2 linked regions of the Ovis aries genome follow. The protein of the gene in region 1 binds, or shares a complex with, the protein of each later gene. Links are inferred from orthologs where the notes say so. Each region holds a gene or a part of one and is shown in the gene's direction. Other genes may lie near its edges.

Region 1 (3,651 bases):
CAATGGGGACCTTGGAGAGACCATTCTCAGTGTGAAAACCCAGAGAAAAATGGGGTTTTTCAGGTAAGAAGAGGAGAGATTTAAGGGTATGATTTCCAGGCAGCAGTAGAACAGCTCAGACAGAGCCTGAAACCCCTTGTACCATTCAGGACTCTGGGTTCAAAGTGATAGCAATTTCAACTCCTTTCTTGAAGGAGAAAGAAAAATATATTGGCTTTTGTGATTGAAAATTATAAGGCTACAGCTTCAGGTACAGCTGGATCTAGGTGCTAAAATGATGTAGTTGGGAATCTCTCTCACCATATTGTACTTCTATTTTTCTCTATGATGGTGTCCTCTTTTGTGTGTGTGTGTGTGGGGGGGTGGTGGTGGAAAAGGTGGCCCCCATCAGTACCAGGCTCACAGTCCACCTGCAGGCAATGCTATAGGCAGACTGAGCTTTTTTCTCAATAGCTCCAACTTAATGTCTCAGGACTGACCGTCATCGGCCTGATTTGAGTAGCATACCTGCCCTTGAGTAGTCACTCTGTGTGTGTGTGTGTGTGTGCGCGCGCGTGGTGTTAGATAGCATGCTTTGATTCGTTGGTCACATGCCCAGCCCTGGGGTTGAGGGGTGGAATGCCCCACTCAAAAAAAGGTTGATAGATCCCCCCCAAAATTGGGGTGCAAATATGAACAAAGAGCAGCTCCTTTATGGCCTGAGGGCAGGAGTTGAGCTCTATCTCTTTTTAAAATTTATTCATTAATTTTTGGCTGCACTGGGTCTTCATTGCTTTGTGCAGGCTTTCTCTAGTTGTGGTGAGCGGGGTCTAGTTGCGGCATGCAGGCTTTTCGGTCCGGGCTCAGCCATTGTGGCTTGCGGGAGCTGAGCTCTATTTCTGTATCCTCTTCCCCCACCTCCACCCCCAGGACCAAAGGCTGGCCTTGGAACGGCTGCAGGTTGTGTACACTGTGGGCTACTCCCTGTCTCTTGCCACACTGCTGTTCGCCTTGCTCATCTTGAGTATCTTCAGGTGGGAACCCCCAACCCTGAACAGAAGCAGCAGAGACTGGGCTTCAGTTTTCCCAGAAAGATGGGGTAGTCAGGCTCCACTGGCAACAAGTATCCAATGGTGGTTCTGTGGGGAGGGCTGGGACGTAATTTAAGGGACTCTGTGTGGCCAAGGACAGGCCCCCAGACTGCCTCCCAAATCCCTCAGGCGGCTGCGCTGCACTCGCAACTACATCCACATCAACCTGTTCACGTCTTTCATGCTGCGGGCAGCTGCCATCCTCACCCGAGACCGTCTGCTTCCTCCCCCTGGCCCCTACCCTGGGGATCAGGTCCTTACCCTGTGGAACCAGGTGAGCAACATCCTTCTCTTTCTCAAACTGAGATTCTGCCTCCTCTGGTAGGGCCAGAGGGTTCCCTTGTGGCTCAGAACGTAAAGAATCTGTCTGCGATGCAGGAGACCTAGGTTCGATCCCTGGGTTGGGAAGATCCCCTGGAGAAGGGAAAGGCCACTCACTCCAGTATTCTGGCCTGGAGAATTCCATGGACTGTATAGTCTATGGGGCCATAAAGAGTCAGACATGACTGAACAATTTTCACCCTATCAACCGGGCTTGCCTGGTGGTTCAATGGTGAAGAACCTGTCTACTAATGCAGGAGACATGGGTTCGATCCCTGGGTCGGGAATATCCCCTGGGGAAGGAAATGGCAACCCACTGCACTTCTCTTCCCTGGGAAATCCCATGGACAGACAGAAGGGACTAGTGGGCTACAGTCCACGCACAAGGAAACAACAAAAAGAACAATAATGTTATCCATTGTTCATCTCTCCAGACCCTTCTGACACAACTAGAGAGGGACCCTCCCTACTCAGCCTCCCCCATCATTGAACTCTCTCATCCCGTTATCTCCTCTACTGGAACATTTCCATTCCTTTCTCTCGGTATCTCACCGGTCATTGGAGTTTTGCACCAATAAGAGAGGCCCCTGCTAGAGGCCAGACAGAAGTTGGCAGGATGGGAGAAACTAACCGATGGGGGGATTTGGCAGATACCAATTTGTTCCAGGGAGACAAGGTGGGAGAGACTAGGGGCGGGTGGGGAGAGAACCTGTCGGGCAGCAAGTTGGGCCATACCAATTGTTGAAAGCGAAGCGGGTGGGAGAGTCCATGTGCTGGTGGGTGATGAGAAAAACGTTTTGAAAGGTGTAGTTGAATTCTTAGGAGATGGGGTGGGAGAGTCCATATTCAGGGGAATCTGGGGGGAACTCATGAAATTCTCCAGGCCGGAATACTGGAGTGGGTAACCGATCTCTTCTCCAGCGGATCTTCCCGATCCAGGAATCGAACCAGGGCCTCCTGTATTGCAGGCGGATTCCTTACCAGCTGAGCTTCCAGGGAACATAGATAGATAGTGAAGTCGCTCAGTCGTGTCCGACTCTTTGCGACCCCATGGACAGTAGCCATCCAGACTCCTCCGTCCATGGGATTTTCCAGGCAAGACTACTGGAGTGGGTTGCCATTTCCTTCTCCAGGGAAGATACCAATCGTTAAAGAGGTTAGAGTAGGAGAGTTCATGTAGGGAAAGAGAACAGAGTGAGTGAGGAAAGGATAGCTTTATCATCCTTCGGTGATACAGAATGGGAAGAGAATATTTGATGACAAGAGATGGGCTTGGAGGGGACCCTGATTGCCCCCTCCTCCTGTCTGGTCACCCCCTAGGCCCTAGCTGCCTGTCGCACGGCCCAGATCGTGACCCAGTACTGCGTGGGTGCCAACTACACGTGGCTGCTGGTGGAAGGCATCTACCTGCACAGTCTCCTCGTGCTCGTGGGAGGCTCCGAGGAGGGCCACTTCCGCTGCTACATGCTTCTCGGCTGGGGTGAGCCCCGACTCTGCCCCCTGCCCTGCCCAGCGGCGCGCTTCCCCTCCCGCAAACTACCCAGCTGGTCTGCCTGAGGGGGTCTCCACCCCTCTCTAGGATTCTCTGCCTCCCCTTCCCGGCGGGGGAATTCCGCGGGTCTTGGGCCTGGCAGGGCCCGTGCGCGCTCTGACAGCTGCGGCGGGGTGGGGGGCGGGGGTTGGGGTCTGCACAGGGGCCCCCACGCTTTTCGTCATTCCTTGGGTGATCGTCAGGTACCTGTTCGAGAACACGCAGTGAGTCGCGGGGTCTGGGGTGGGGCGGGTCTGGGGTGGGCGGGGCTTTGAGGGATGTGGGCGGTCCTTGGAGGGACGTGGGCGGGGCGAGACGGAATCGTGGGGAGGTTCTAATTGCTTCTAGGAGCCTGGGAGGGTGTCTAAAGGAACCAGTCGCTTAGGAAGATGGGTTCCAGGACTGCTGCAAGGGGCGGGATGAGGGCTGGGCCTAAATAGTAGCAGTGGGTGTGGCCTTAAAGAAGGTGGGGAAATTAAGTGCTCAATTCTGTGAGTCTAGGGTATTCTAGTCTATCTACGCCCCCTCCTCCAGGTGCTGGGAGCGGAACGATATCAAAGCCATTTGGTGGATCATACGAACCCCTATTCTCCTAACAATCTTGGTACGGCCGGTCCCATCTCCTCCAGGCTGGTCTCAAGAATTTCCCATCCTGGGAAGCCAAGGTGGCGGGGAACTGGCTCAGTCTCTCTCTCTCCTCTACCCCCCTACCCCCCCGCAGATTAATTT
Region 2 (2,991 bases), on another chromosome or scaffold:
AGCTGAACTGCTGCCAATGACTCTTCAGTGGTGGCAGCTTCAGACTTTGGAAATAAGACGAGTTGATCTCAGTCTTCTCTTTGCAAAGTCTCTTTCCCTGACTTTGCTGTTTGACCTGCGTGGTAGCTTTTGAAAAGCTTTTCACTGGGAGCTGAAGACAAGCAGTTGGGAGGCTGACTGAAGAAAGAGGTACCCTTTGCTCCCTGGGCTGAGGTGCCAAATGGCTGGAGCTTCTTTAGACTGGAGAATATCTGGAATCGCCCCTGGCCCCACCTATTCCCTAACCTTTATTTTACCAGCTGGATACACAACATCACCCAGAGGGAGGCTGGGGCCTTAGAGCTGGCCCATCAGTCTAACAGGAAGGAGGAGGCAAAGGAGGAGCAGGGGTGAGTCTGCCCGCAGGGGAAGGGGTGGGGGTGGGGCCCCCGACTCACTGCCCCCTCATTGTTCCCTTTCCCAGACTCCGAAGCAGGGCTAGACCCCAGACAAGCATCCTCTTCTACCCAGAATTCAAAGAGGGGTCCTGGAGATCCTGGAGATCAGCCCAAGCCTAAGGGAATAGCCTAGGAGGAATGGGGGTGGAGGTCCTGGGAGGGGATTTGGGGTTAGAATTTCTAAGATTGATGACTTAATGTGCAGAGTCACCAAGTCCAGGAGAGGCTCCTGGAGGGACTTCAGAAACTGGCTTCTCCCCTTTTGTCTGCTAAACTTCAGGAAGGCTTTTATGGAACAAGGAACCTCCCAAGGCCAGTCCCCTGAAATCAGTTACCCTGTCTCTGTAGGAAGCTGAGGAATTGACACAGATCATTCTAAAGAGTGAACATTCCCAAAGTAATCTCGGTGGGGGGGGGGGGGGGTTGGAATACACTCTGGGAAACTTGTAGAGGTGGGTGGGAGGGATGTCTCCCACCAGAACTGTTGTCTTTGCCTGTATGGAAGAGCCTATATTCATTCCCTGGCGGACAGATCTGGGCGGAGCTTTGAAAGCTGAGACAACTGAGAGGCAGCTGTGTTGACTTGTACCCCCCACCCCCGCCCCACCTTGTCCCACCACGCCGGAGTCCCAGCCCCTGTGTTTACTCTCTCTGGGTGGGGCCTGGGCTTAAGGGGCCTGCCAGAGGCTTTCTCCTTTGTAGTTCCCTACCCAAGAACCCCAGTGATGAAGATTTGCTAAAGCGTTTACTGATTCGAGAGCTGCTGGCCTGGATGGTGGATCAGATGGAGCTCTGCACGCTCAGGTGGGAGTCTGGCAGCTTTGGGCATCTTGCATATTAGTTGTGAGCTCTCACTATGGAGTCAGACGTGGGTTCAGATCTTCACCCCAACACAGGCTGACAAATTACTTACACTCTCCGAAACTTGAGACTTCCCAGGTGGCTCAGATGGTAAAGTGTCTGCTTGCAATGCAGGAGACCCAGGTTCGATCCCTGGGCTGGGAAGATCCCCTGGAGAAGGAAATGACAACCCGCTCCAGTACTCTTGCCTGGAAAATCCCATGGACAGAGGAGCCTGGAAGCTACAGTCCATGGGGTCACAAAGAGGCATTTTTGTGAAAGTCAGGGTTATTTAAACCACTTCATAGGATTTGGTGGGGTTTGAATAAGATAATGCTAGGAAAAGGGTGACAGAACATCTGCAGAGTGTTAAGAGTTTGGTAATGTTGACAGATCGTGGTACCACTTTCACTTCTTCCTCAGTTTCCTCCAGGTGAGATGCTGCTCTCACCTGCCCTACCCACCCAAGACCATAGCATCCTCAGCTTTCCCTCAGTACCCGTGTGCCACGGCAGCTTCTCAGTGGTGAAACCTCTAGAGTTGGAGGAACGTTGCCCTTCTCTGTAGTTCCAGCTGGTCTCAGTAATCCTCGAATCCTCCTCCTCAGCTAGGAAGTCTTTCAGTTTATTAATATCATGTCTTAGAAGCAAGGGATGGCTCAAAACCATGGAGAGATCCAGCCACTCGAACAGTGAGACAGGACATTCATTTAAGATGCAGACACCAAGATGCAGAAACCAAAACAAATTCAGACTTCGGTGATGGGAAGTTGAGGGATTGAGGGAACAAATCTGGAATGGCTTCCTGTAAGAGGGTTAGAAGGACCCTATGTGGCCAGAACAATGGAGAAAAGAGTATGAGAAAATCTCCTTGGTAAAGTGGGTAACAGTCTGTGCACTTTTTGGAATAATTACCTTTAGAAAGGTAATTTGGAGGTAGGAGGAGTTGAACTATGGCTGGGTGCCAGAATACACTTACTTTGCTGACTCTAAGCCGAGATATTCCCCTCCTCTCTCCACTCTGCACAGGTTTCAGTGACTCTGACCAAACCCAAGCTCAGAACTGGACTCTGCCCTTCATTTACTCAGCTCCTGCTTCATCTCCACTCCAAGATACTCCAAAGGAACCAAACTAAGTTTAAGCTGAAATAAATGTTTGTGCTCATTGTCAAAACTGACGTGTCTACTGTTGACTAACTGGATGTTTGTCTGTGTGTGCACTACTCAGTGAAAAGGAGGTATGGCTCTTACCCGTTAATTCATCGATTGTTTCATGAACACTTATTGGAAACCTAACACAGGCAGGGATTATGCTTAACACTGAGTATACAGCAGTGATGGAAACAGACACAATCATTGTCCCCAGGGGGTTTACAGTCTAGTGATGAAGACATACCTTAATCTTTATACAAACAGAGACTTCCCTGGTGGTCCAGTGGCTAAGACTCTGCACTCCCAAAGCAGGGGACCCAGGTTTGATCCCTAGTCAGGGAACTAGATCCCACAACTGAAGATTCTGCATGCAACAGAGAAGCCTCATAGACGGAGTAGGCAATCAGGAGGGCCTCTCTGAGAAAATGATGCTTAAGCTGAATGAGATTTTTTAAACATTTCTTTCTTTTTGGCTGGGCTGGGTCTTCCTTGCTGTGTGGGCTTTCCTCTAGTTGCTGTGACGGGAGACTACTCTGTGACTTACTGGCTTCTCACCGTGAGGA

The links. Proteins that work in one complex are often made in the same cells at the same time.
Region 2: the proteins of GIPR (region 1) and GIP are in contact, whole or in part, in a cryo-EM structure (PDB 7RA3), measured with the Homo sapiens proteins. The link is inferred for Ovis aries from reciprocal best matches to the Homo sapiens genes GIPR and GIP. Residues at the interface, in NP_000155.1 of Homo sapiens: Gln30, Thr31, Ala32, Leu35, Tyr36, Trp39, Tyr68, Trp71, Leu88, Trp90, Arg101, Arg113, His115, Asn120, Gln130, Arg131, Leu134, Glu135, Leu137, Gln138, Tyr141, Tyr145, Arg183, Ile187, Arg190, Asp191, Pro197, Gly198, Pro199, Tyr200; in NP_004114.1 of Homo sapiens: Tyr52, Ala53, Glu54, Gly55, Thr56, Phe57, Ile58, Ser59, Asp60, Tyr61, Ser62, Ile63, Ala64, Met65, Asp66, Lys67, Ile68, His69, Gln70, Gln71, Phe73, Val74, Trp76, Leu77, Leu78, Lys81.

What each region holds. Positions count from the first base shown.
Region 1 is NC_056067.1:53,030,641-53,034,291, forward strand, and holds part of GIPR (gastric inhibitory polypeptide receptor), read left to right. Parts: coding exon 1-63; intron 64-909; coding exon 910-1,013; intron 1,014-1,199; coding exon 1,200-1,344; intron 1,345-2,711; coding exon 2,712-2,871; intron 2,872-3,085; coding exon 3,086-3,146; intron 3,147-3,456; coding exon 3,457-3,651. UniProt on the Homo sapiens protein: This is a receptor for GIP. The activity of this receptor is mediated by G proteins which activate adenylyl cyclase.
Region 2 is NC_056064.1:37,313,848-37,316,838, forward strand, and holds the end of GIP (gastric inhibitory polypeptide), read left to right. Parts: intron 1-299; coding exon 300-389; intron 390-1,139; coding exon 1,140-1,241; intron 1,242-1,370; exon of another isoform or gene 1,371-1,442; intron 1,443-2,305; coding exon 2,306-2,315; 3' UTR 2,316-2,450; downstream 2,451-2,991. UniProt on the Homo sapiens protein: Potent stimulator of insulin secretion and relatively poor inhibitor of gastric acid secretion.